Linked DNA regions of Drosophila melanogaster. The protein of the gene in region 2 interacts with the protein of the main gene of each other region in a pairwise test. Each region holds a gene or a part of one and is shown on either strand. Other genes may lie near its edges.

Region 1 (14,496 bases), on a different chromosome or scaffold from region 2:
CTCCACATATTACTAAGTAATCCTCTAAGTATAAGTCCATCAGTTAGCTTTATATCGTTTTCTGCATGGTATTTATATGGAATTAATGCTTGTTTAGTTTTTGAAAGCATAGTTTGTAAAAAACAAAACCCAATAATTAAACAAAAAATTTTAAATATGTTTTTATTTAAATATTGCGAACTTAATAAGAGTAAAGTAACATTAGGATTAACAAGGTGCGTGTGGGTCGTTCATGTAGATCTTCAGGGTCTGCGGTGTTCCAAACGAGATGTCCTTCTTATTCCCAACTCGATCGGTTCTTCCTCTTTCCATCACGTGAGTGGCGGAACTTGCGGCGTCGGTTCGACTTGTGGGTCTTCTTCTTGTAGTGGACAACGGTAGCCTTCTTCTTTGGTTTCTTGGTGGTGGGAGTCACGGTGGTGCTGCTTCCGGTTGCCGAAGGCGAAGTGGTGGACGTGTCTGTATCAGTGGTCGGAATAGTGACCGAAGGAATAGTGACCGATGGAATAGTGACCGATGAAACAGTGACCGATGAAACAGTGACCGTGGCGGGAGAAGTCAGTGCCCAGGCAGTCGAAACGAAAGCCGCGATGGCAAGGAAGATAGTTAGCTGGGATCGCATCTTGAACAATGTTTTAGACTGCTATGACTGATGTGCTTCTTTCTGGGCGAAGCTGGCGTATATATAGCCAAATCAAGAGGAAGATCTCATATATGTTTTCCCTAAGCAAACAGCAAACAGTCGTTTTAAATCGAATCGGAATGTGATGTTTTAGTAAATTTGGGTTGCTTAAACAGAGATCAATACCACATTTTCGCAATGTATAATTAGGCTATTTATACAGAGGCTCACTTAATTATACGCCATTCATTTATTTTTAAAATACTAATTTCTTAGAGAAACGGATGTAAGTTGGGTGGGTAGCCAAAGTATTGAAATAAAAGATTTTTTTTTGTGTCATAACTTCGTATTTATTTTCCGTATAACTACATAGTGAAATACTTTACGAACTGACTCTCAATGGAATGTAAATTTAAATCGGACTGGAGAGCCTTATACATAAGGTTTTGAATTGTTACGAACCGAACTTGGAACCAAGTGTACGAATTGTAAATAAAGACGGCAATTTAAATTGACACGAAAAAAAAAGATAATATAAAATAAAAATTGGTCTTACCACAACGTATAAACATTTTCTGTTGCACATAGTTTGTATTTTATTCAAATGTTTTGCTCTGATCTATTAATTGGTGTAAAATAACTTGAGTGGTTGGGACTAACTTTACAAATGAGTCTCAAATGCATTTTAAGTAATGTGAAGTTCGGGTATAAACTAATCAAATCGAGGTGTATAGATATAAAATCAAATCACGGCTTTGCTTGGCGTACACACATATTAAATAATATTAATATCAGTTAGACTCAGAGACGTTCTATGAGCTAAATACAATGCTTTAGTTAGGCGAGTAATTTAGTTAAGATTTTACCACTTTTTCTTGAGTTTCCTTTTGCGTGTTTAATATTTAAGTTTTGTGTTTTCCAACTTGTACAATTACGAAACATTATTTTGGTTTTGCAATTACAATTAATAATTGAATGGCAATCTCTGTTCCATCTTTAGGCCCCACCCATGTCGTCCACGGCGATGGCACACAGCACGTACATCATTCCGGCGCTGAGGAGCGCCGTAACCGGCACCGTTACGATCCATGCATAGGCAATATTCCGGAATAGATGCCAATCGACACTGCCATCATCCATGGGCGCAACTTCGTTATGGGTCTCCTTATCGGTCTGATCATTCGGCTGACTCTTCTTCTTGCGACCTGATGCACTCACATGACCCACAAAAACCACCGAACCGACCTTGCAGTGAGTAGTCGAAATGGGCAGGCCAATTTTGCTGGCCAGCAGTACGGTGATGGCAGCTCCGACTTCAATAGTAAAGCCACTGAAAAATAGTTGAAAGTGAATGTTCTATTTGTGAAAGGATAAGGGAAATTAGGAACTGAATACTCACGTCGATGAGGTTATTTTCGTAAGGTCATTGCCAATGGTCTCGATGACTCGTCGTCCCCACAGCCAGAGACCCACAGAGATGCCGATGCCGCCGTAGATCAGAATATAGATGGGACTCTCGGCCTGCTGCATAACCGATCCCTCGCGATAGATCATATAGAGGGCAATCAGTGGGCCGATGGCGTTGCTCACATCATTGCCGCCGTGCGCAAAACTGCCAAATGTGGCTGTCAGGATCTGCAGAAACGAGAAGAGCATTGAAATCTCCGGAGTCTCCTCGGCGCCACTGGTTCTTCGTCCACCGCCCGTCGTTCGTTTCAGCTCCTCCTCCTGCTCATTCAGCGCCTCCTTGCTCTCGATCAGAGGAACCTTGCTGGAATTGGGCGATAAAGTGGAACTGATCATAAGATCAAGGCTGCCGCCGCTCTCCACCACTTGAAGGTTGTTATTTGTGGCTTTGGTCGATCCGGTTTCCAAGTCCGTGCCAATGGAGTTCGTCTTGCTCTGTAAGTGGAAAGAATCGAAGATTAGGCAAAGCAATCGAATTAGCTAGCTAGCACTAAACAGGTAGTACCTTCTGCTCCTCCTTGGGCGACTGCATCCGCTTGAAGCACTCCTGCAACTTGCGTCCATTTTGCTGCTGCTGCTGTTGTTGCTGCTGCTCGTCGATAAAATTCAGACTGGTAATCGTCAGATCCGTGTTGTCCAGGCTAGCCTTGCCCAGCAGATCCTCAGCCTTTTTGATCAGCTGCGGATCGATCTTGTACTCCTCCCCAAGCGCATTGTTGTTCTTGGCCGCCAATCCGAATGGAGCCAACTTAAAGGTCCTCGGCGAGTTGTCGCTCAACGAGACCAGCTCGGTTATTTCTGCGATGGCAGGCAGTGGCTTTCCTTCGCTAACCAGCGACAGGGGACGACGCTGCTTCTTGGGACTTCCCGACGGGGAAGATTCTGGAAGAAGAATTCAAAATTTATATTGTTATTAGCCAAACATTTGTTGGAAGAACAAAGGCCCCATTATTTGGTTAAAGTTTAAGTCGCATATGGAATAAGGTTTCTAATTTTTTTTATGAAAAACCAATACAAATTAGCTACAACCTTTGTATAAATAACCTAGATCCAAAAAACTTCCACATGGTGAATTGCGACTTAGCACGCACAAATAAACTGTTAGCTTACGCAAACAAAGAAAACCTCTTCCACTAATTTCCCTATAAATACTTAGGCTTCAGCTAAACAAGAGCACATTAGATTCAACACCTAAAGAATCCATTAGAGATGCGTTCGCAGCCAACTATCTTCCTTGCCATCGCGGCTTTCGTTTCGACTGCCTGGGCACTGACGATTGATCCCGCCACGGTCACTGTTTCATCGGTCACTATTCCATCGGTCACTATTCCTTCGGTCACTATTCCGACCACTGATACAGACACGTCCACCACTTCGCCTTCGGCAACCGGAAGCAGCACCACCGTGACTCCCACCACCAAGAAACCAAAGAAGAAGTCTACCGTTGTCCACTACAAGAAGAAGACCCAAAAGTCGAACAGACGCCGCAAGTTCCGCCACTCACGCGATGGCAAGAGGAAGAACCGATCGAGTTGGGAATAAGAAGGACATCTCGAACACATTTTGAATACCGCAGACCCTGAAGATCTACATGAACGACCCACAAGAACAGTTTTAAGCCAATTGCTAATTTACTATTATTATATTGTTATTATATTACTTATTAAGAAATTAAATGCTTGTTTTATAAAAGGAGTTTCAAGATTTTGTCATTTAAAAGTAGAATTACTAAAATGCAAGCTAAGGTCCATTCATTCATTTTTTTAAATATCTGAACCCGTATACACGTATATATCCCGTTCATAATCTATAATTTGATCTTTTCATCTGATTTATAGCAGAGTTGTGTCTTAAACTGCTAAATATTAATATTTCCTGACGCTTGCCCATTTTAGTTTAGAAAAAGTCAAAAAATGTAGTTAACCGCAGAAACTAAAGTTTGTATCAAAAATGCAATGCAATAAGCATTAAGTCTCGACTGTCAGATACCCGTTAAAAGCAAAACTTTCAATCTTTGGAATGACTAGAATCTTCATCCTTAAATCAGTTGAAGTTCGACTAGTGATTCAGATCGAGAATATACTTCATAGGGTCGAAAACGATGCGATGTAATGTAGGCATTCTTTTGAGAATATCATAAAAAGTCATTTAATCTTGAGGGTAATACAGGAATAAGAATAATAGAAAATGAAAAGTTTGGGAACAAAAGCCAAGACATGTCTGGCCAAATCTGTTATGCCTGGGGTATTCGCAATGGGGTCTCTACTTTAGTTTCGTCGGGATCTCTTCTTGCGGTCGCTGCGCTTGCCTCCTCGCGAGTGGCGGATCGTGCGGCGTCTGCCCGGCTTGTGGACCTTACTTTTGTGGTGGACAACGGTCTTCTTCTTCCCACTTCCTTTCTTGGAGGTGGGAGCCACGGTGGTGGGTGCAGTGGTGGGTGCGGTGGTGCTGCTTCCGGTTGCCGAGGGCGAAGTGGAAGTGGTGGGGGAGGTGGAGGTCGTGGGAGACGTCGTGGCTGGATCAGTAGCCGGAGGTGTGGTGGGATCAGTAGCCGGAGGAGTAGTCGGATCAGTGGCCGGAGGAGTGGCAGGATCAGTCACTGCCCAGGCAGACGAAACAAAGGCCACGATGGCGAAGAGAATAATTATCTGCGATCGCATCTTGGATTATATGTAGTGCTCTGCTTGATGTGACTATTGTACGTAGTCTGGATGAAACCAGAGTATTTATAGTAAAATCGGTGGAAGATGTTTCAGACGCGTTTTGCTCAAGCAAACAATCTTCTACATTATTGTTTGATCACTTGCGATTGTTAATTCGAGGTTGTTCAAACAACAAATTAAGCATATTTTTGATGCGCAAAGATTGAAATAGATGTTTGTGTTTGTGAATATCGTGTTATTTTAACGAGAATATCCCACTTTTTACCTATATCTACATAAGAATCGACATTCGCTTTACGTATCACTAAATAACTCACCCACGGAGTCCTCGAAATTAAACTTGACAGGATTCTCGGCCCGCAATCGTTTGGCAATCTTGCGCCGCTGCAAAGGCACCACTACCAATTGCGTAAGCAATGCCACCAGCAAAGAGAGACCAAAACTGGCGGTCAGTGCTATCCAAGTGGGTATGTTGTCCATGTAGAGCAGCTTGGGCCCGTCCAACACAACGCTGATAACGTTGATGAAGAACGTTACACCGTAGAAGATGGGCAGCGATCGAAATCCGGCCTTGAGCGGCTCCTGGGCACGTAGGATGAAACGACGAATGGCCAGGAAGAGCAGAATGCTCACAATTCCACTCAGCACCGGTGAGATGAACCACGATCCGACGATTGTGCCCAAAGTAGACCACTTTAGGCCCTGTACACCGCGCGCCACTAGCGAAAATCCAATGGTAGAGCCAACGATACTGTGCGTTCCCGAAATAGGCAACTTCAAAAAGGTGGCCACCAGCAGCCAAACGGCGCTACTGGCCAATGCGGCCACGCAGCCCAGCATCAGAACCTCCTCGGCGCCCTCGTATAGGCCAACTTCTAGGATTCCCTTGCGCATGGTATCCGATACCTTGTAGCCTGCCGGAATATGAATATAATATCAATACAGTTGGCAAATTAAATTCTAATATTTTGCATTTATTTTCTTACCAATCAAAACGGCACCCGAAATTTCGCAAATGGTGGCCAGCACGCATGCCTGCCGGATGGTCAGAACACCGGAGCCGACACTGGTGCCAAATGAGTTGGCCACGTCGTTGGCACCGATGCCAAAGGCGAGTACGAAGGCGATTAGGAATCCGATGACTACCATCCAAAGTAATTCCGGCGCAAAGCTCTCCATTGTTGCCGACAATTTGGTTTTCGGTGTTCAATGTTAGTCAAAACTCTTCGGCTCAAGCCAATCTCTAAACTCTCTCAACTCTAACTAAATACTGATTTCACTTCTTGCTCCTCGAAAAACTAAACTCAAGTTGTATTTTATTGTATGGTGCGGATTTAACTGGGTGGATGATGACTTGAGTTGTGCAAAACAATCGTTTGAAACTTATAAAATACAAAGACTACGTAACAAATGAGGGTCGAAACAAAAATCCAAATTGATTAATAAGTGAGAAATTCTTTTCAAATATTCTCTAAACAGCCATATTTGCGCTTAAACTTCATTGTCGTTATTTTCATAATGAAAATGGGGCAACAATTCGCCGCTTGGAACTGCGAAGATGCGAGATACTTAGGTGACTAATTACCCTGCACTATAAACACTAAACCCTTCGGTTTGGAGCCTCTATCTTCAAATGATGATGCTGATGTTGTGATGATCAGCTCTATCATAAATTAGGCAATAAATAAATAAAATCCTACAAATAACCCTGGGCAGGACAAAAAAAAACACCGAAACGAAACGAAACGAACAATAATCCAAATTAAAATCCTTCTCGTGCGCTGACAAATTCCTCCTGCCAATGGAATTCGATGCTCAGTGTCGGGAAGTATTCACAGGTATTCCACACTCCAAACTAACTCCACTTGTAGACCAGTTTAACTTCTGGGATATCTTCACTAGCAATTGTTGTTTTTTCGTTCTAAGATTGAACGAATGCTGTTGATGTTGTGGAGTAAGTGGATAGTGTGTTGTTGTGTGTTGGTTTGTTAATAATTAATTATAATAAGTTTCTTGTTATGTTGAGTAGGAGTTAAGAGGTGTCGAGTTGGTAAACTGTAAAACAGATATGTATATTTCCAAAATTTTTTCCCAAAACAAATTAGATAGAAATTATTCTCACCTGACGTTTGGGGTAGCACAGTTGTTTCAACCATAGAGAATTATTCACCATGTCTGAAAATGGGCGAAAAATAGTTATTGCAACTCAAGCAGAACTCAGTATCACTTGTTTTTTAACTTAAGTAAACCACTAGCAAAAAACTGAACCTATCCGACTAAGCACACAAAACGATTTGAGTAAAATAACTGATTCAATACCAAAAATCAAAACGAAATCCAGTTTAATCTGCTGAAATTTGGTACCTAAAATCACTCTGATTTCCAGATACATTTTCAATACCTTTCGACTTTTAGATACTTTTTAACCAGTAAAATCCAGCACACAGCCATTCGGTGAGTTTTTCAAATGAAATCCAATTGTTTGTTTCTAATTTTCATTCATTTGTTTCTTTTCCAGATTCAACTAGACCCGCGTGGTTCGATCTTTTTCAAATGAAAATTCGCAATTGAAATTGTAATTGCCGCTGGCTGTTGTTATTGTTATTATTGTCCAGATTGTTGTCATCAAATGCAAATGCAGCAAACAATTCGCTTTCATTGTTTACAATAAAGATGACTGCGTAATTTACTGATGTAACTTAGTGTTTTAAATAAACTACAGTGGATGAAATCCTAAAGGATTTAAATTTCTTATATGGTTTTAATGTATATATTTTACTATTAGCAATTAAAGGAATCCTAACCCATTAAGTTTATCAACTTTGTTTTCGGTCGTAAAGTAACTATAAGTGCTTTTTATGAACCATGTGAATTGACATATGTACCAAACACATCGTAAACTTTTTAACTATGACCTTATGGGATCCTTAAGAAACTGTGGACTAAACACAAGAAAATAGCATATTCCTTTCCCACCGGCCAGCAATACCAAGACCCACATTTGACCAAGGCAAATAAACAAAGAAAACCTCAAGAAAACCCACCCACAAAAGCAAGTGGCAAGGCAAATGACGCCAAGAGGGCGGCGGTGGTTGGTGGGTGGTGCTGGGGCTAGAGGTCATAGGGTTGAGTTTAGTAACCAGGACAAAGGCTGACACCGCGACTTGGCAAGGTCGCACCACGCTTAATGCCGACGCTTCGTTGCGAAATTTCCATATTTGCGTGCTTTGTCATCGCTTTAGCCCCAACACCCAACACCCACCACCCAGCACCACCCACCGGGTGCACATTTCCATTCCCACACAATGGAAATGGGTAGGAAAAAATCATGAGTTTGTGGTAATCACCACTCCAATTTAGCGGCGTATTTTGAACTTTTGAGCTATAAATACGCAAACACGCAATTGTGCATAGTTTGCCAGCAAATGCAAATGCAAATAAATGTTTGTTGATTGTGAAATATGTATGTGCAATCGATTGAACAGATGAACAAATGGAAATTTATAGTGATGTTATTGCTTGCCGGTTAATACAAAATTGTACGATTACTTATGCACAAGACTAACTAAAAAATGGAATTTTAGTTGATACATTTAAATTATTTGAAAGCGCGCCTTTTCATATTTCAATCGAATGGCAGTAAATCAATTTAAGCCCATTGGATAATTACGGTTATTGCCTGGCAGGTGGGCAATAATTTTGTAATTGGAATGAACCGTTAGGGCCGAACAGATCGAAGTTCAGGGGGAAGGGGGTGGCTGGAAGGCGGGTGAATTCTACTGCCATTGCATGACATGGAAATGGAATTAAAATGGATTGAATGCCAATTGCAAAACAACAACAGATGGCACAGGTCTGAAGTGCACTCGAAACAAATACATAGTAAAAGTTATAAAGAAGCTCCTTTTAAACTATAAAGGTATAAAGTATAAAGTATAGAGTATATAGAGCATTAGAATTTTTAGCTTTACATTCAGATGGTGAAATTCGCACAGCGCACTTTTCAATTTTCTACAGTTATTCAAGTTACTTATGAATTTGAACGTTCAAATCGCTTGATTTTTTAACTTTGGAACACCTTATCCTTCAATATATTATTTCTTTCACTATTTTCCAGCAGAAACTTGTGCCAGTTCATCTATTTACACTGATTATGTGCACTTTCTTTGAGTTGCACGGATGCACCGGGCGCGTCACTGGCGACCTTGACATTGCCGCCTATCAACTGCAATTGCAACTGGCTCTGCAAACAGTAAACTGCTATTAATATTGATTTAATTTGCCGCAATGTTCCAAGGACGGATGAGGTGAAAAAACCGACGGACAGGGCGAATTATCGCGGCCCAAAGCGGGCATTTTCTGCACGCTCAGTGAGTTCCACTTGTTGTTTTCCTGAAGCCGCCAGCCAGTGAGTTTGGGGGTGGTTGCTGCCGCAAGTTCAAGGTCGCACCACCGTCACACAAATCCGGGCTAACTCGTTTCAAATTAACGCCACCCGCTCCAGTGAGTGTCAAACTGTGCAGATGAATCAGCCCGTTTTCCATTCAATGGGCTAAAACCAAATCCAATTGGAAACGCGCTCAGGTGTGAAAGGGGATGCCACTCTAGTAATTAACGAATAACTGCAATAACCCAAAAACACACGACGCTGGGTTGTGCATGTGTGAGAAATTAGAGCTCCAGGAAGTACAATAACTTTAAAAGCATAAGTTGCACTTAAGCTATTGCAATGTATGATAAAAAAAAACATGATTCTCGTCTTTTTCTACCCAATTGTTTAATTGAAAATATTTAATTTTTTAAACATACTTTAAGCAGACTTCTATTACAAACTTTCGCGCTCTCTTCACACACATTAAGTTCATATATCTTAAGTGTTTAGCTGTCGTTATTATAGAGCGACCACTGTACGTGTGCCAACGTTTCTAGCACGTGTGACTGTACAAGTTCTGGAAGTAAACAAATGTGAGTGCGAAGCTCGTTTGGCAAATTTTACCTATTGCTCTTATTCTTTCATTCTCTCTCCATTCGACGACCTTCTTGGCATTCATAAAAGAGTTTAAACTGTGAAGCTGTGTTGTTTTTATTGGGTTTTTTCCATCACACGCGATCCGAAAATGGAATCACGAGTTTGTCGGCTGATATTCAAAACGTGAGCACAAAAAAAATATGAATAGAACGCTTCATCGAATTTCACATATGAATGTATGAACATATACATATGTATATACATACATATATGTATGTACATATGTTTGTGCTGTGTGCCTATAGAAATTCCACTCCCATCCAATACATTTTTTTGGGCACTTGGCAACCGGCAAATATGGCTATTGAATATTTCTGGGAACTGCTTGAAATCGATTGAATTACTATTTTCAGTAGTAAAAAGTAGGTAAAGCTAGGAAAGCCACTTGAAAATACATAATATTGAAAGCTAAGCAGTTATTTTAAACTATTTATACATAGTTTAATTGGGTACTAACTACCTCATGATAAATAAATCAAAGGGGTAGGTGGTTTATCTAAGTTTCTTTATAATTCTGAAGATATTTATATAAGCAGGTGTTCTCACTTGCATGAATAGAATCTCGTTGAAAAGGGGACATTTCTTATAATTTCTGAACGGAAATCCAGAACTTTAGTTTGAGAGACACTTGACCAGGTGCCATCCGAGCGAAAGATGCATTGAATCGGAATGGGAATCGGTCCACTTTGCACTCACACTCACTCCGTGCGGCGCCGAGTGTGTACACGCTATGACCTTGCGGGGTTGCTGCCACCCACCGCCCACTTTGAACCCAAACCAACTCATTCATGACCCAGAGCAATCCAAAACGAAATCCACGCCGTGATATCACGTTGTGCTGAAAACAAAAAATGTATAATTTCTTTGCTTGACGTAAGCGCAAAGATCTGATGTTCGGAAATTACGAAAAACGAAATGTTTTTTTTTCTTCGAAATTCTGCAGCATGCGTATACACAGATTTTTGGGAATTTTGCTGCTTGTGTCGTTGGGCTATTTTAAAGTTTAAATGCTTATCGGAAAAGCTGCTCCATTTCGTTGGCTGTGCGCTTGTTAAATTTAGTTCCCAGACGCAAAAACTGTACGTACACAACAAGATGCCGGAGTTTTTCTTCTACCCTTAGTACTTTGCTCATCACAGTGCGACTTGGCTATAAACGATTGTATTCTAATTTGAATTTTCAAAAGAGCAGGCGATTTCATTTCACAATATTTCTTTAGCTTTGCAAAGCGTAAGCAAGTGTCATGATAACGAAAAGTGGATTTTCCCAGAAATATTTATAAATAATTTTGATAAGTTTACACAGAAAGTAAACTAAGTTTTTAGCGGAAGTGCAATATAAACAACATTTTGATTCTCGAAAAGAGGTTATCTTTAAAATCAAAAACAGAAATCGTTGTGAGTCCACTTATAAGTAAAAACTTTTGGAAACTGGAATATGTTGGGCCATAGAGCGCTTATTAAATGAATTTACAAAAATTTGCAAGGATGCAACTGACGCCTTAAGTTAGGCTTCATTATTTGAAGCCAGCTTGTGAGTCACTGGAATTTCATATTCTCTCGATTTTAATACGTTTTACATGACAAAGACAAAAGATGGGTAAATTTCACAATAGAGGGGGGTGGGGCTCTTTGTTGTGGGGAAGTTAGGGCGAGAGCGAAAGAAAGGCGAAGAAAGTGGGGAGCATGATGGCGAGGGGAGTGTCTGGAAGCTGCCAGAAGAGACAAGAGAGCGGGAGAGTGCGCATCCTCTCGCTCTTTTCACCTTCTGTTCGGTGTTTCTGTTGTTGTTCTTGTTTTTGGTGTGGCTGCAGCTGCGAAGCAACAATAACAACCACAACAGAGACTCGAAAACAGCTGCACACGAAAACGGTGGCTGTCAAACTGTTTTGCAAAATTTAAAATGTAACTGTACTTGGCAAAAACAATACATTTTGCTGTATTTCTGTATGTCGTAAAAGATCTTTCGACCTGGAAGCTGGAGAACACTTTTTCCAGCCACTTGGCCACCACCCCGCCTTTGAACAAACCAACCAATCGATTGGCCAGCTTATTGATTTTTCTATTCGAACATTTTGCATTTGTTGCTCGTTTCGGTCTTTTGCTTAGTGTGTTTGGTTCGAAAAAAGTATTGGCAATCATGTGGGCATCGACATACACACTTTTTTTTTATCACACCCACGCGAAAAACACGCGGCGCCAGCCAGACTAAAAGGATACAGGCAGCATATCCTGCACACACACACACACACGCGCGCACAAAAAAGCTCGCCAGGATCGAGTGGTGCAGTTGACCAGCAAACCGCAGCTGCTGACAGCCAATTTTGAGTAGCGGAAACAGTTGGAGCTGCTGCCCCGAAATGGGTACTCACTTGATCAGCAGCACTTTTTCGAATCAATATACCCGTCTATTCAATTTTTTTTTAAGCGGGACGAAGTCGCGCGCAACCACCGGCTTGCTGGGTTTGTTAGAGATGTGCCGATAACTCGCCACTGCGATAGCTCGAGTTGCTACTTTTTGTTGTACGCCACGCGCTTGGGATTTTAGCGAAATATGCGTGCCACAACTTAGCTTGTGCCGCAACCCCACACAGTGCTGCCACCTGTGGGCGAAAAAGTTACGTCTACATGGTGTTCTGGTCACACTGCCCCCGCCGTGACAAACAAAATAGAAAAAAAAATAAAACAAAAGATAAAATTTTAGCCTCCCCCCTTTGAGAAATAAAGGGTCATTTGAGGCAGTTTAAATCGAAAAGAATCCATAGGCACGGAGAGCCCAGCACACATAGAATGTTCCACTTCAGCGGCTTCAACATGATGTTCCCGGAGGGACGCAATTTTCATGCCAACTACAAGTGCTTCTCCGTATCCATGTTGCCAGGAAACGAGCGAACCGACGTGGAAAAGGGCGGAAAGAGTGAGTTACGAGTGTAGGCTGGACAGAAATTATGTGAACAACACATTCCATCCACAGTTATTATGCCTCCCTCGGCGCTGGACACGCTCACCCGCCTGAATGTCGAGTATCCAATGCTGTTCAAGCTGACCAACGTCAAGAAATCGCGATCCTCGCATGCCGGCGTACTCGAGTTTGTGGCCGACGAGGGCAAATGCTATCTACCCCACTGGATGATGGAAAACCTGCTGTTGGGTGAGGGCGACATACTCAACATCGAGAGTGTCTCGCTGCCGGTGGCCACCTTCTCAAAGTTTCAACCGCACAGCACCGACTTCCTGGACATCACCAATCCCAAGGCGGTGCTGGAGAATGCATTGCGCAACTTTGCCTGCCTCACCAGGGGCGATGTCATAGCCATTAAGTACAACAAGAAGGTCTACGAACTGTGTGTCCTGGAGACAAAGCCCGGCAATGCAGTCAGCATCATTGAGTGCGACATGAATGTGGAATTTGAGGCGCCAGTCGGCTACAAGGATCACTCCGAAACGCAGGCATCGGGCTCTGGGCAGCAGGGTGCTGCTGGAACTGTTGGCGGCGAAATCGCTGGAGCCACCAACGCCATACTCGAAGAGGTCGTGGAGACCTTCAAGGGTTCCGGCGTACGTCTCGATGGTAAGAAGAAGAAGGAAAGCCAGTTGGAAACGCCGGTCGTTAAGAAGGTGCTAGCCCGCGGCGTTCCAGACTATGATTTCCAGTTTGGACTCATCCGTTTCGATCGCAACATTCGGCCTATCAGTGATAGAAGCCAAGAAGATGATGCCGTAGCTGGCAATGCGGACGCTTCCGATGCGGAGAGCTTCCACGGCACCGGTTTCTCGATGAAGAAAACGCGCAAATAGCTCTGTATCTCTAGTTCTAGTTATATATTGTGTGACACATAGAAATTAAAGGAAAAACCTCACAGGGGCAGCGTCAACTTGATGGCCTCCTCCTTGGGCGGAGCCGGTGGCGATATGGTGGTCATGGGCGGCAATCGGCGTATCTTGCGTCCGTGTTTGCCTTCCTTGCGCTTCCACAGACCGGAACGTGGTCGATTGCCCATCTCCCGCATCCGCTGGGCACTGCCCACATGCTCCTTGTTGTGTTCCGGGTTGGACAGGCGACCAACCGTCGCCATGCAGGTGCGCTGGAAGGCGAACTCCCGCTTCGAGGGCAGCTGCACCACCACCTTTTCGTCGAACTTGCGCAGAATGGTGCCGAAGGTGCCGGCGGCATGGATCAGGTGGCACATCTGGCCGGGGTTCTTCTCCAGACAGTGAATGCGTGTGCCCACGGGCAAGGCGCCCAATGGATAGGCATCGCCTTCGTTGGGACGCACTATGGGATCATACAAAAAAAAAAAATTATATTGGCATAACTGGTTGTTTCAGAGCCAGTAAAATTTCTAGATTCCATGCTCAGTTTAAGACTATACTCAGAGGATTACTTAGAAAACGTTTAATACTCCCGATGAGTAACAGTAAGTAAATTTACCCGGAATCCTAGGAATAAAGCGCGAGGTCTTGAGGATATCGCCAGCCTTCATGTTCTCGGTGGCCAGGATGTACTTCAGCTCATCGCCGACGGCAACCAGGGCCACTTTGGCGGTGCGACAGCCATCGCGTAGCACCTCGAGTACCAGTTCCTCCTGGGCGCCCTCCGTGGGACCATCCCGCACCCATTTAACCCAGCGATACTGCTGTTTGATGCCTCCGCCAATGCCCTTGGCCACCAAGCGACCGGAGACGGGATCCCGACCAGCCAAATGGGTGATCTTC
Region 2 (16,203 bases):
ATTGAATTATTGGACACTTAAATGGGCGGCCTCAGCGAAATGCAAGGCAGCCAAGAGGAGTCGAATGGAAGACTCTTTAGCGCATTTTCCTATTTTCACACCTCGGGCAGCTAGTCCCTAACTCCCCTGGCCCTCATCCGAACCTTCGGACTGTGGGTATCACTCAGTGCCTAATGAAGATGTCTCCCCCAAAAACTGGAACCGAATCCGTGCCAAACTGCCGGGCCTGGAAGTTCATTAGTCAGGAAGTGTTATACATGATGCAGTCGACTGTGCGCCCATGCATGCTAGGGAAATTGAGGCTTTAATTTGATTATATGGACACTAAAAAGGGGAAGACGTAGTAACCGTTACATAAACGGGCACTTACTACTTACTAATTTCTCAACACGGGAGGATTATAGTCGTATTATCGTGCATTTTGTTTGACTTCAGGAAGTCAAATTGCAGAACTTCGTCGGCAAGTATGGCAAATAGATTCGATTTCCGCAAAATGCTTTCAATCAGCTGGCCAAAATCAATTAAAAGCCAACTGCAAATGCTCAGTTATACAATCAGAGTTGTACATTGTAAATGCCCCCACTGTTTGACGCTCCGCAACTGATAAGGCCACCTCACCCTGGAGCTGAGGAAAACCAAAAGCTACGGCGAACATTACAATGGCAGCGGCGGAGACATTACATAACCTCCAGATGCCAGGGCAGGCACAATAACCTACAAATGCAACCTCACTAACCGACTGAACCCAGGCCCAAAAGGAGAAAAATAAGCTACAAAATACAAAGCTAAACTGCTAGAGCCAACGTAATACGGTTTGCAGCTTCTAGAGAAAATGAAACAAAACCCGAGCGGGAAAATCATCGGGTCGATTTGTGTGTGTGTGTGTGTGTGTGTGTGTGTGTGGGAAATTGCGACAACGACAAATAAATTACAGCAACGCTTAAGGTCAAGCGATTTGTGCAGAAATGAGGCATATAGAAAACATATTGCTGCGATCGCTGCCTTTCTGATAACCAAAGAAATGAATAGGCCCTCGACTGCTAACAGTGATGCGTAGTAGCTTGCCACAAATATTGGTACTTCAGTCTAAAAGATCAAGGAAACATGCCAATAATTTATATATATAATATATATATAATATAATAATGATATAATATTACAATAATAAAAATTGCATACATACGAATTCATATAAAAAAAATGAAAAATAATATATATAATAATCTAGGCCATAAGGTGATAGTTTCGACTCTTATTGCAAAAATCGTACAAGAAAGATAATTGGCGCGACTTGCTGATTTTAATCAAATGGAGCTTCCTTCTTCAATTTGGATTTTAGTTATAATTTTGCTATTTTTTTTTTGCAGTACCCTGGGTAGAGCTTTGGTACCTTTGTCATCACTGCCACCGAGTGGCAGTCTGGTAGACCGCCGACGAATCGTGGCTACCACAATTGCTGCGGGGTCAAATGGCGTTGAGGTAACGAGGCGAGCTAAATCATCGACTTCAACTGGGAGTCAACACGTGCAGAGTGTTCCATGCCCCCGGGCTGTGAATACCCGGCTCTGGAGTCGCACAGCTCGGCCAGAATTGATTGCCACTTGGGAAGGCCATTTCGGTTGCTCTTCTAGCTCGCTTGTATCATGTATCATCAAAAGAATTTTTTTTCAAATTGCAGCGCGCGGCTCTGCGCCACGAATTAAGTGCCGAGGAAGGGCCAAACGATTGTCTGACATTAGCCACCTACTTGGTGAGCGACCAGGTCTGAGGAAGAATCAAGGTGTCAATTTGGCGTATATTCGGTAGTCGGCAATCAATTTAATTCGTATTAGCTTTTCTACCGTATTTTGCTATATTCTCACTTTTATTTGAGGTATTATAATCTGCACAATCGTAGCCATATTCTGGGAATCTTTATTGACTAAATCATTAAGTGCTGACCAGATGGCTGAACAATTTTCCCAAATCAAATGCAAAGGCATAGTTATTAATTCTTTGCGTAAAAATACTCGCTTGTTGTATTACAATGTTTCACTTAGATATGGTTGCTATGAGTTTTGAATTGTATGAATTCTTACTTTCGTCATGGCTTTCTTTTAGACCGTAAGCTATATCAATAAATGTTCTTTTCTAGATGTGGCCAGTAATCTGGGACTTCCCCGTTACCTTTCAACCGTTGCCAAGTTTTGCCCTTTAGATGAGGTGAATGCCTGCCCAGTTTCATAACCCATTTCGATGGGTTGTAGCAACTAGCAACTAGTTTCGGCTTTTGGCTTCGTGCCTTTGCCTTCATGTCTTCATTTCACCCACCGCCACCACAAGATTGTGTTAAAATTTTATTTTTGCATAATTGAAAAAATTTAACAACTTTAGCCAAACAAATTTTACGTTAACTGTGCGCATTTTGTAATTTCGCTCGCGTGCACATTACGTTTACCTATCCGACCTGACCCATTCCTTGGCCAAAACCGTAGGTAAAAAGGCAGAGAGCCGAGAAAAGCTAAAACATTATTACAACAAGCAGCGTGATTTCCGGAAGTTGGAGCTGAAGCGCAACAAAGGCGCCTGCGCCTGCGCAAATGTCGTCGGCGTTGCTGTCGAATTGATTGTTGCCGTTGCAGTTGCAGTTGTGGCAGTTGCTGCGAAGATCCAAAGAAAGTCGTGCTGCAACAGCTGCAACGGCAGCTCGGCCAACTTGCCGTCCTGTCTTCGTGCGAATAATGTCATTTGTGTTTGTTTTATAACCAAATTTACAACAACTTGCCACTGTCGACGGCAGGCACACTTACAACGCCATTGCAGCACTCAACATAATTGCTTCAGTCCGAGGTAACGATGCCTTGGAACCCTTCTTCTGCCTTGAAAAGATACTTACAACTCGTTTATTTGCCTTAATATTGAAAGTAGTTGGAAGTTACCAGTCACCTAGCACAAAGAATCTAGCTAAAACTCACTTTCTTTTAACCCTCGTTTAGTACTTTCACCACTTACATACGTTCTTAAAATCAATCAGTCATCACCTGATACTTCTAATTCTACTTCACTTTTACCTTGCCAACAAGAATTAACCATATCCAAAGCCTAAAACTACAGGGTCAGAAGTTATATAATAGTTTCGATTCCGCAAAATTGCGTCATGTTTCGTCTTTTTTGATCATTTCTAATTAATAGGTTTTCTTCTTCTGCTACGTGTATGGTGGCTGCACGATCTTACATAATAATTATAGAAATAAAGCTGTCCCGGCTAACATAAATTAGCATTATAGAAAATAGAAAGGTCTCCTCATCTTTGTGTTTTTGGTGTCGTGTTTGGTGTTTTTGCCCTCGCATCCTATCCTCACACTTGACCATTCTTTTAGCTGCTGATCGTGGCTAATTTTATAACAGGTCTCATTGGATTTCATAAATCTTAGATGTGGCGAAATTTTCGTCCAAGTGGCGGAGGCATTAAATTAATGTTCTAACATAAATTTATAATTCATGTTTAAAGGCCAGGCCAGCATTTCTGAAATAATGATGGCTTTGTCTTGGCAACCGTCAGTTGAGGATGATTTAATGACCTTTTTAAGATGCTGAAGTCGATGTTGGCGGGGCAAAGGTACTCTTATTAATTATTTTATTGGCAGACGGGTAATAAATGCTCCACTGACAGGAAGCGCTAATTAAATATGTTTTTGTACCTAATTTGTGTGGTGCCTAATTAATTTTTCTAGCATTTATAAATTGCTATTTAATTCCTAATCCTTTGTGGATTCCTTTTGCTTGACAAGGTCTCTTTGATTTACTGGGAATACCTTCCAAAAAGTCACAAGTAATTTGAATGCAGCTTTTTAGAATTGATGTCTTGGTATCTGAATATATAATATAATATGAAATTATTTATCTCCGCTTCACGCACTTCACTTGACCTAACCATCTCTGACCTTTCAATTAATCATGGCTAATATATGAGTGTGAGGTGTTTTCAGGTGTTTTTAGATAACTTCTGCTGACAGCCGCCGCCTTATTTACCATAAAGTTTTCACACGACAAGTCAGGTTTTTTGGAAGAATGTCAATGTGTATTTTCGTTGTATTTCTACGTCTAAAATGCAAATGGTGTTTGTGTATTTTATTTTGTCTAAAGTTCAGTCAACTTTGGTCCAAACTATTTTAGTTTTTATAGGGCAATGAGCTGCGAATCTGCTATTATGCAAACTCCCTGAAAAAAAGAACCTAATCATTGAAGACCAGCGATTGTATAAGTTTCGTGATCAAAAGAAATGCGGAATTCGGTAAGCCCGAATCTCCATTCACAAAATTAGAGCATATAAATATTTAAACCCATTTTTCACAATTACCAAATCGACTGCCCCAAACGCACAATATCAACTCAAAGACCAAACAATAATGAATTCAATATTTTCGCAAAAACACAATAAATAAATCGAGAAATAATTTCACCCGCAATTGCGACGTTGTCATCTCGGTTTGGTTATCAATAGAGATCACTAGGTGAGTGGAACTCCGGCATTTGGCGCTAATTGTGAGTTATGGAGGCCGAAATTGGAGTTGCTACCGTGGAACAGCAACAAGATTGGCTGACTTTTCGGTCAAATGGAAAATTGCGTGTTAATGGTCATGCAGGGCAGACAATGGATGTGGATTGCCCACCCGGCTTTCTTTCAGCCGATTGCAGCGGATCAAAGCCAAACAATTGGCATCCGTGTTGCCACAAATCAAATGCTCGTAATCGCAACAATGAGCAATTGCTGGCATTAGTCGCGATTGTTTGTCCAACTTTTCGGCCTCTTTCGATTCGGCGGGAGTGATTGCAACAGTTCAGTGGCCCACACACTGAGGTATATGCCACCATACCACAGACTTCCGACAACTCATCCAGGGCTGACCCATCCCATCCCATCTCAACCCATCAGCCCGACTGATTATCAACTTAATCAGCAGCGGCTAATTGCGGTCTGCCGCCACATTTGCACTTAGCCCAACTGCAATAAGTGCAGCTAAGTTGGAGTTGTTACAAATTTCCGCCTGTCAGCAGGTCGACTAGATCCCATTTCCAGTGAGTGACAGAAAAACGTGTGAAAATTATGAAACTGCATTTTGATGCAACGTCGGTGGGTAAGTGGATGCGGTTGTGGATGGACTCCCGAAATAAGAAACTCCCCCCACTAAAAATGTGAGCATTAGATTTGTGGCTCTGTAGGTTTTTCGACTTCAGCTCCATCTCCAGCTCCAGCAGCAACTCCATTTCCAACTGGGCTTTGTTTGAGCTGGCATCGTCTCTGGAGATCTGAGCGAGATTTGTGTGTCCTGTCATAGAGATCAAATTTTCTTTTCTCCTCGCTCACTTTGCAGCGCTTAATTTGCACTGAAACTGCATTTGCAGTGCCCGTCGAAAAGTGCCCGTCGTAGAAGCAAAATAAATAATTTTTATTGTGTTGAATTTATGAGTCATTGTTTGGCTCTTTGGATCTCTCGGCTGCCTGGCTTTTTGCCCCAGCTGGCTTTATCTTCTAGGCTTTTGCGAGTTCATTAATTTTGCACTGCGGAGTTATCGTAGGAAAGAGGCTAAGAAAAAGAGTTTTCTTGTTACATCGCGCAGGCTTATCACTGCGTAATATAGCCCACTTAGTTGGCGAACAAAACTGTATGATAGCAGGAATGGATTTGGCAAAACCACTGAAACGAAGAAAAGGCAAATACATCAAATCTAGTTTCCTTAAACAACTATTAATTGTTTTTAAATTCTAATACTAATTGTTTTTAAATCTAATACAAATTTATTTAAGTAAAAGCTATGGGTGACTTAAGCCTATTCATTTACAATTTTCGCGCTTATCAAACACAAGATCACAGACCCGAGACTTTCTCCCAATCAAATTGTTAAATTAAATTTCTATGTACAGAAATCCGAAAGAAAACCGCAATGCTCACAAATTGAATTAAGTTCAAGATTTCAGAATGAGCCGATGCCGCCATTGTGCCACAAATTATTGAGTGAGTACTCTTGACATGGGAGCATTTTGAATCCCGCAGCTTATGCAATGGGCCACACCGCCAACAAAAGCAACCAAGTGGCGTGTCCGCTGGGCCCGAAGTTGATGTCATCAGTGCGTCATCAGCTTTCCTTTGGTCTCTGGCAGAAACAGTCCCAAGACAATGAATCCGAATAGGCACATGCCCGCCGACATGAACATGGTGGCAGCCAGGCCCTGATCGTAGATCATTGTGGGGTAGATCTTTAGAGCCACGAAGATAAATCCGCTAAATGTGGCCATGCTCAAGGAGGTGCCAATGGAGCGGATCTGCAATTGGTAAGGAAAAGAAGATAGATTGATGAAGCTACAGCTTGAGAATTCCTGTTTCCAATTAACTTTATTTTCATTTTCATATCACTCACCTTAGCTGGGAGCAGCTCAATAATGATGATGAAGATCAGGGCTATAACTCCTAGTGAAGCAATGCAGGCCACAAGGCACATGATCACCAAAGGAAGCCATCCATTCTGGTTCAGAAACTCATCCGATGCGAAGCACTTGAGCAGAGCAATTGCCAGCTCACCCAAACCCATTCCACCCATTGAGGTGAGGAGCAGAACACGACGACCCAGTCTGTCCACTAGGACGACAGCACTGAAGATTCCCACCAGCTGTGCAGCTCCGACCACAATGGTGCTGGTGTTTGGATCCAGATTGTTGCCTAGCTCAGCAAAAATGTGCGATGTGTAGTTGAAGATGGCGAAGCTCCCTGACAGCTGATTGCAGATGATCAGTACAAAGATGAGGCCGAATATCTTTAGTGTAGGCACGTTAACTGCAGGAGTAGAGACAATTATTTAATCAGACCGTAGGTAAAAATAACTTGTATTTTACTCACTGAAATCCCGCCAAGAAATGCTCTCGGTGACGCCGCCACTGAGCACCTGAAGCCGAAATGTGTCAAACTCAATTTTAGCTGCGTCATGCTGAGAAGCTTCCTTGTCGGAGGAAGTGGGTGGTGTCAGGTTCTTGTAGAAGTAGAAAGACTTCTCGGCCTGGTCATCGCGCCCTCGTCTCAACAAATATTGCGGTGTCTCCGATAAGCCAATAACTGACAACATAAACACCACCGGCAGAGCAACGATAATGCACGGCATCAGATAGTACGGGAGATACGAGGCTAATGTAAAGCCAACCATCATGCCGATGCTAACGTACATCATGGCCATGGACGATAACGCTCCCCGAACGCTTAAATTAGTATGCATTGTATTTAAGTCTATATTAAAATAATAAATGTTTTGGACTTAAATCATCCTACATTCAAACTACTTATTACGACCTGAAACCAATGAATGGATAAATATCTACTAAATATTGACAATCGACAAAAATGATGCCAAAATGATTTGAAAAATTGAATAAAACTAAAATTGAACATAAACATTCAGTTAATATATTTTTTCTGCACAAATTTATTAAAATCTGCAAATGACCTTTCGCAACCACACTCAAGTTAAATGTTAATATAAAAAGAAATGGCTTAGATAGATTTCTTTCCCCACTTGCTAAGTTCCAAGTAATTCACTCCAATCATTCAATAATTCCCAGACCTATATCTAATCGTTATTACGTAGACAAACGTGCGCCGATATAATTGAATATATGAACGTAGTCTGAGCTTATCATTGCACGTAAAACTTGAAATAATCTATAATTAATAGATTACCCTTAATCCGAAATGTTGTCAGTCACTAGAAAAATGACGCGACTTACCTATTGTCGGCTATTTCAGCTATGAATATGGGCAAGACGACGTAACAGCCACCTCCGGACATTCCCGCCAGGAATCGACCAGCATACAGATACGTAACGTCTTGGGCGGAGTAGATAAGGATCCAGTAGATCTAGCGAATTTAAAAGAAAGCCTTGAAGTGACTCAAGCTCTTGGGAAACCCCTTAAAGAACATGTGAACTTTATCTACCATATTGGGTATGGCCAGGAAATACATGCACACTTTACGGCCCAATCGATCGAGTAGCAGTCCAAAGATTATATTGCCGGTCAGCGAGCCTAGGCCGATAAGTGATCCAACCCTGAGAACATCAAAAAACATCAACCAAAGGGATTTCCACTGAAAGGGTATCAAGCTTACCAGGATGCCTGGGTAATGGTCAGGGGATCCCCCAAAGGGCTTTCGTCGGATGCGAGCAGTCGAAGAGAGGGAGACAGCCATCCCACGGCAATTCCATGGGTCAGTGTCATAATATGTACTGGGATTAGTCAACTTTTATTAAATGCTCTACTGTGGCTCCTTCCTTCTATTTTCACCCACCAGTCATGGTGGCAATAAATTGCCATCGGTACCGCACACTAAAAACACTTAACTTCTGCGATGGATCATAAGTCATATTGCCTAATTTAATTTAGGACTCCTGAAAATGTTTCGCTTTTGGATTCCGAATCAACCACTTGGCGGCTCGTGTGCCAACTGAGGATTTTTATTTTGAGTGACAAGAGTTTATGTAGTGGAAATCACGCCAGATAAGCCAACTTTCCAATCTTCTGACAATCGTAAACAATAATGACGACTGTAAAATTGTTGCAGATTAGATAAGTTTTAAGTAGTCGCAGCGTAGTACCGCTGATTAATGCAAAGCGCTCCCATTTAAAGAGGTCTGGGGAAGTCTGTAAATTAAAAAAAAAAATAAAAACACTTGGCAGTCAGGCTAATCTTACCGTTGAACTGTTGGATAGCAGCAATAAGTCTATGTAAATTTGCATAACTTTGTATGAGTAAGGTGACAATATTTGCTTAAGATTGGCGAAGTCATTGTAAACAGTATTTGGATTTTATTTGCATTTACACATTTATTATGAATTTTTATACATTTTCTCTTTTTTTTATTCTAAAGGAAGATTATAAAACTAAGACATTTATTAGGAAATAACTCCAAGAGATTCCATGGTGTTTTGGAATATGAATTCAACTTAATTAATATCTTATTCCAAATCTAGACATACACTTTCTTTTATTTGTTATGGCTGTTTATAACTTATCTAGACTACGTGAATTTTTATAAGTACTGGTTCTACTTAACACTTATCAGAAATTAGCCCATCATTGGGTAATGCTCTTGCCCCTGGTCTCAGGCAAAAATATTCCCAGAACTACCAAACCTAGTAGACAGAAACTCGCCGACACAAACATTGTGACATGCACTCCATAATCGTTGATCAGGACGGGATAAGTGATGAGGGCAATGAATACGGATAAACTGAGTCCGCACATACTGATGGAGATGCCAGGGGCGCGAATCTGCAAGGCCATGAGTTTTAAGTGAAATCCTTTAACAAATAAACGAAGCCGAGCTTACCTTAAAGGGCAGAAGCTCAACTATAATGACAAAGGTAAGAGCCACTATGCCCGCTGACGCCGTGAAGGACACAATGCCCATTAGGGTAAGTGCAATCCAACCATTGTTGTGTAAAAAGTCCTGCGAAGCAAAGGACTTTAGCAGACCCACTCCCAGCTCAGCCAAACCCATTCCGGCCAGCGATGGGATCAAAAGGAGGCGACGACCCACGCGGTCCACCAGCAAAACGGCGCTAATCAAACCAAAAATTTGCACAACACCCAGAAATATGCCACATAGATTGGGCTCCATCCTGCTACCGAGCTGTTCGAAGATGGTCGACGAATAGTTGAAGATGGCAAAGGATCCCGACATCTGATTGGAGAGCAGTAAAACGGCGATCAGTCCAAATGCTTTTCCCGAGACCTTGTTAACTGAATTGAATTGAAGATACAAATTTGTCATTGTAAGGTGAACATTTGTTTCTATAATAATGATGATAATGATAATACTAAAATAAATGTATTATATTTCAAATACATATTGAATACAAGATAGTATCAAATCGAAAATTTCCAAAAATTGGTCATTATATGTATTATCAATTTGAAACTTACAGAAATCAGCAGGAGTAATCTTTTCAGCTATGCCGCTGGCGAGAACTTTATTCCGCAATTTGTCAAATTCAGCTTTATTATCGTCCTGTTGCGCTGGGTCCTTCGATAAGTTCTTGTAAAAGCAAAAGGACTTTTCGGCCTTTTCTTCATGACCCCGTTTCAGTAGGTCCTGTGGTGGCTCAGGAAGGGGAATGATGAGGCACAAATATAGAATGGGCAGGAAAATGACGACGCACGGAAGCACATGGTAGGATAGGCAATATACTAACACAAATCCCACTGTTATGCCACTACAGAGTGTCATCATAAAAAAAGAGCCCAGAGTTCCACGAACGCTTGATGAAAATTGTGGTTAAACTAGTCTGAATATTATCCGACTTGGCAAGTAGTTTGGCTTTGGAATGACTTACCTATTATCAGATACTTCCGCGATAAATACAGGAAAGCAAACTACCAAAGTGCCACCAGAAATTCCCAAAAGGACGCGACACACATAAAAATACAGTGATTTGCTTGCGAAGTAGATCAAGACCCAATTAAGCTGTAAAGAATTGCAGTGCTATTTTGGAAGCTCGTTAAGCCAAGGCAAAGTTATATTTACGATATTTGGTAGGGGCACAAAGTACATGCACTTCTTAATTCCGAAATACGAGACTGGAACGCAAATTACCATATTACAAATAAGACACCCAATTCCGAAAGAAGCACCGATCCTGGAAATCTCAATGGTGCCAGTTAAATTTACACCTAAATTCACTATTTCCATTGCTGACATACCACTTCACCTCGCTGATGTCAATTGGATGGCCAATTGGACTGTTGTCGGAGATGAGAGTGGGCAGAGTGGGCGAGAACCATCCTAGGGATATTCCATGAGTCAACGACATAATGCACACTGGGAAAAATCATCAGGTATCAGCGATTGATCAAACAGACCACCGGATTCTTACCCACGTATCATGGTGGAAAGCAACTGCCAGCGGTTGCGTCTGCTACAGATTTTCATATTCTATCGTTGCCTAACACTAGAAAGCATTATATTCTTCATATTATAAAGAATGGACTCCCTCGATTTGACAGCTTTACTCCTATGTTAAGAAAGAACCGCACAATTTACTAGCTGACCTATGAATAACCAAAACAAATAATTCAGTTTGAGTGTTATGACAATGTAAATATGACTCATGTTTGGAATGACTGGGCAATAGGTTTTTAGATCTTTATAGTAGTTTATAGATTCCGGTCACTTTTTGGATCATTAGAGTGGTGAAACCCCTTAATAGAGGCAAAAAAAAAAACGCAAACGCATGAAATTCGCTTTTATCTTATGTTTACTTCATAGCCCAAATGGCAGCAAAGTGGATGAGGAAATGCTCTACCCATAGAGATTATGATACCGAAGTAGTCGAGCAAACAAATAATAAAATCATGAAATTCGCGGAACTGTGTTTATTTTATCTCGGCACAATTAGGCCCCACAGAGATATTAATCAGCGGAGGGAAAAGGCAAACAAGCTGGGCAATCAAACAGCATGACAACAAGCTAATGGCGAGTGGGGGAGAATCTCCTTGCAAGACAAAGTTTATCGGCTTCCAATTGGCGATCGTGTCACAATAAATGATTTTCCTATGATCAAGTTATTATATGCGGTTCCACTGGCCCCACTCAGTGAGGCAGTCAGTCTCTCATCGACTGTCTCGTCTGGGCGCCTATATCGATCGATAATGAGGGGTTCCTGCGCTACCAGCTGGGCAACTTTGGACGCGGCTTACATAAATCTCGGTTGCAATTTAATGCACAAAAACGATTGGGCCCATCGTGATTCCTTTTGGAAGACTCCGTCGTCGTCGGGTTTCGTGGCTGGGGCTCTGCACGGTCGGAGGTCATGCCCTGAGGTTTGTTGTGCCGTTTGTAAAATGCTCAATAAAAAATATCAAATTTTTTCTGTGTCATTTGCATCTGCAGTCCTCGGCCTGCAGTCCGTGACCATATTATATGCTGTGCAGTCCGGCACTTTGACACAACCAAGGCAATAAGTACCTATGCTCGCTTCTCTGGTGGCCAACCGCTTGTCTTTCGTCATTAGCACACAATTGTTCACTACGTTCGAATGCTAAGATATCACTTTCGTTTGTTCAGCTGTCAGTGGCGATAAATTGGCCACCAGAGCACAGACAAGCTCGGGACTTGAGATTTCGGGCATTACCATTACTTTTCACCCGCCTATCTGGTTTAGCTAACATTCCGTATGGATGATGCACTCAATGCTGGCGAGATTGGAGTTCTATTCTTTCCAACAGGTTAGTTAACTAACCTTATTGTATTGTCTGATTAAGAGTGATTTATCTGCGGCTTTAACGAATTACGTCTTATACTTATACTATATATGTTTTGAAAGAAACATAAATTGATGTCATTTATGGACTAGTGACTATCAGCCAATTGTAGGTGCACCAAAAATTCTATCATGTATAAAATCTTATAAAGAGCAAGTGGAGCATTTCTCATAGCTTAATAAATAAATGTGAATTTATATCCGATTAAGATGCGTATTCATCTACAGTATTATCATATTGCATATCTTCTTGATTTCAAGGTAAATACGTGTACTACAAAAAATTTGGAAAGTCTGAGAACCTTTCAAGGATTCTGAACATAAAAGCTTATGTTTAATAAATTGTATTTCACATAAAACATTTAACATGGCTACACAAAACATAGCTTGCGAAGATTAATCATGGGGCTATCTTCAGCATTGATCTTAACAAATGTGGGTTTAGACAAAAAAAAAAAAAAAATAATAATATGAAAAGCAGCCTCACCAGTCACATATAACATAATTTCAGCGACTCCTCCCATGGAAAAGGGCCAAAAATGTGAGCAAATTGGACAAAGATAAAAGAAGCCGTGCCCAAAAAATCAGACAGCTATTCCCAAAAAAAAGTTAACAATTAAATCAACAAAATGTGGCTACTGCATTCGCGCGAGGTAACAGAGGCTTTGGCCAAAAGCCGAATGCCAAATGAATGACGGCATGAATGGATGAGTAATTGATGGCAGCTAGTATTGTTCTCAGGCTGGCGGGCACGTTGACAGAGCCATGTGCGAGTGCATCACCCAGAGTATCCAGCAGATACTCTTGGTGGCCCAGCATGACTGAGACCGAGACGATTGGGGCCCCTAGCCATGCCGAAAATCGCACGTTTCTATGCAAATCTTCTTCGCTTTTCAATCAGCTGCGCGACTAGGCCACAGAGGCTTCTGTGTTTTATTTTTTCCGTTTGGGTGGGGGGAGGTAGGTCTTTTGCTGGTTGTTCGGAGAGGTTTTTGGTGGCCTGTAGGCAATAATTATCGCTTGCATTACGTATTTCGGTTGCTTCTCGCTTTTGTTTTCGGCTCGGCGACTGTGTGGCAATCTAACTGAGTTGGCATAGAAAACGGGCGTTAAAATTAACGGGAGTTAAATGGTTTTTCAATTCACAAAAGGCAAAGGCAACGCCGCAATTGCACGAGGGCCCACCATCCATGCTTCTGTGATGGATAGTTTGGGGTTAAATATAGGCTAGATGGCTTCTTAGATACTTCTACAATGATTTGACACTTTACCCGGGCTCTCGACTCTACTTATACCGACCGAATTTGCTGAATTACTTTTCAACAGAATGGAAAAACGACCTTTTAAGGTTGTTGCTCAATGTGCACAGTTTCACCAAGGGAGTGTTAAGATTTGACTTACAAAATTAAATAGTTGTGGCAATGATTTGATTTTTCCTGCAAAAGGTTGAGTCCTTGACTTATACAGATACGTCTTTCTATGGCCAATAAAGTTTTCAATTATTTTGAAGTATGCATCCATTTAAAGTTTTTATATCCCTTTTCATCTGGTAATATTTTTTGATTTATTTGAAATATTTTTTAATTGGAATATTCTTAAATCTACTCAATTGAGAACCCGTCCTTCAATTAAATGGATAATCAAAGTTTTTTTTCGTGCGTCAACTTATGATTTTATAGCTGTCAGATCGTTTGTTAGTTATCTATTGGGCAATTTATTATGATTGCATGCAGCTCGATTTTTAATGAGAAGAGCCCCAGACTCAATGTCATTCGCAAGGGGCAAGCAACAAAACATTGTCAATATCTTTTAATGAAAGAAACTAACCAGTTAGGAGCCAGAATCAACCCGCCATTAAAGTCACGTTAAGCCGCAGAAGCGCCACTGGATGGTGATTACGACCATCACTTCTGATTTTGAATAGAATCAAATGTTAATTTTACATGAACCGCCAGCAATTGGCGGTGATCCAATGCTGGATAGCTACTGTTGCCAGCGCGATGCCTCATGGCTGGGAGATTCGTGGGAATATTTGCGGCTGCCATTATTTGAGCATTTTTGCTACACCGAATCCATAATCGCAGGCGCAATGAATCGGCATCTGCATCTGCCTTCGTGTGCAGAAGGAAGCAGCCGTCGCATCCGAGCCACAGAGACGCAGATAAATTCAGCGAAAATCAAACAACGATATTATGCAACTCCTGGCTAGGAGTTGGTAGTTGGAGGGCTTCAAAGACGCTGCCCCAAAATCATAATATAAACTGTCCACTGTCAACTCTTCAGCTGTCTCCCCTGTGCTCCATTGTCTGGCGGCTGGCCAGAAAATAGAAGCCGAGAAACAAGCCAAGAAACGCCCCAAGTCAAAAAGTCGTCACTGCGAGCATTTCGAATCTTTAATTTGCGATTTTGTTTGTTATGCCTTCCACGAGCGATCGAGCCATCGACCAACTCTTCACTGACGATTCACCGGCCCATTCCCGATCCACTTCCCTGCTTCCAGTCCAAAAGCCCTACAAGTGCTTCCCCTTCCTTATTAAAGGCTAATGGATTTCCAAACTGTCATCTTGCTGATTGTCGGAAATCGATTCGATTGCTTGCAATTTATGGAATACAATTTTAAGGAGGCTAATCCTGTTAGCTGTCATATGAGTTGAGGGCTTGCAAATATTACGTATACGCAATGATGTATATGTATAAAGAGATACACATACATATCAACATGGAAAGGAAATCGTTAAAGTTAATAATAATACTTAACTTAAATTGTGTAATTAGTTTACAGGAACACTAAGGAGGTTCTGTATAAATGATGACATCGCATAACCTCAACTTTGCCGCACTTTTGTGCATACAGCTTAAATCCAAAATGTACTCAAAACATTTTCTAATAATTTTTGACTATTTTATACCAATACTTATGCTAAACTGAATAGCTATATATAATTGTATTAATTTCTTTTTTCTCCAGAATTGAAAACAGATATTCGCCAAAAAAAACCCTCTTTAATATTAAGCAGACGTTATAGACACATTTCACACATATGATGCGCTGATTAAATTCCTAAGATAGAAGCTACGAACACAACATTTACATGGTCTTAACAGAAATGTTAAGCTTTTCTTCTGCCGATCTGGCCCTGTTAAATTCATCGGCACCCGAAGATTTGTGCTCCTCTCTTCGGTCTTTGAACGCCCCTCTCGAGATCGCGGCGATCAGCTGATCGCTGGACCGGTCGCAAAGACGCCCTGCTTTTGTTTTACTTTGTAGCTGCTTTTGGATTGGGGCCACTCTTCGGGCTTCTTTGGGAATTGAGGAAGATGTGGAAGCGATCTTCGTGAAGCGGTAGGTTCGTCCGGTTCGGCGGCGATGAGTGGTTTTGCTTTTTCTGTCTTTGCGCTGGCTTTGCGAGCGTTTTCGCTAAACAGAGCTCGAGTCTGCGGGCCGCTCAGCTACTAAAGTTGGACGCCGCATTTGCCAATTGAAACATTCAAATGTGAATATCGTACGGGTGAAGACGTCTTCTGTTCGTCTGGCTCTGGCTCTTACTGTATTTTCAACCAATCTGATGTGATAAATTTAAGAAAAATAAAGTGCTTTTTGTGCCAAAACTTCAAACTCTTGAGATCTTAGATAACGTTTACGTAATTTTAAAGGAGCAAAACATTTTTTAAAAGGACGCTTGTGATTCAATATTTAATATTAATTAAAAAGGATCTATTGTGAAGTTTTCAAGAATCAAGGATTTAAGCCCACGAACAAGGGAGCAAAATCACTTCGAGCTTGAGTCTGCAATCAAATATTCAATATCCAATTTGTTTATTTGTTAACATTCATATGAACTTGTCCCAAATCGGTTACCTTTTTCCTTTGAGATTACCAAACGGTAGTTTCGCCCTAATGACGTCTTTATAGTGC

What was found.
Region 1: the proteins of CG14606 (region 2) and Ufd1 interact in a two-hybrid assay, tested with the Drosophila melanogaster proteins (one large-scale study listed by BioGRID).

Annotation. Positions count from the first base shown.
Region 1 is NT_037436.4:11,121,123-11,135,618, reverse strand, and holds Ufd1 (ubiquitin fusion-degradation 1-like), read left to right. Parts: upstream 1-12,402; 5' UTR 12,403-12,570; coding exon 12,571-12,697; intron 12,698-12,754; coding exon 12,755-13,578; 3' UTR 13,579-13,637; downstream 13,638-14,496. Other genes in the region: CG14143 (uncharacterized protein), read right to left, coding at 278-622; CG32074 (uncharacterized protein), read left to right, coding at 3,299-3,631; nol (no optic lobe), read right to left, coding at 4,357-4,749; NaPi-III (Na[+]-dependent inorganic phosphate cotransporter type III), read right to left, coding at 1,619-1,952, 2,022-2,524, 2,595-2,971, 5,070-5,666, 5,739-5,931; mRpL2 (mitochondrial ribosomal protein L2), read right to left, coding at 13,638-14,056, 14,213-14,496.
Region 2 is NT_033777.3:7,208,630-7,224,832, forward strand, and holds CG14606 (uncharacterized protein), read right to left. Parts: upstream 8,455-16,203; 5' UTR 8,390-8,454; coding exon 8,314-8,389; exon of another isoform or gene 8,252-8,313; coding exon 8,134-8,251; intron 8,075-8,133; coding exon 7,963-8,074; intron 7,885-7,962; coding exon 7,754-7,884; intron 7,229-7,753; coding exon 6,876-7,228; intron 6,813-6,875; coding exon 6,400-6,812; intron 6,305-6,399; coding exon 6,107-6,304; 3' UTR 5,710-6,106; downstream 1-5,709. Other genes in the region: CG14605 (uncharacterized protein), read right to left, coding at 9,100-9,297, 9,356-9,768, 9,952-10,286, 10,362-10,492, 10,553-10,664, 10,729-10,838.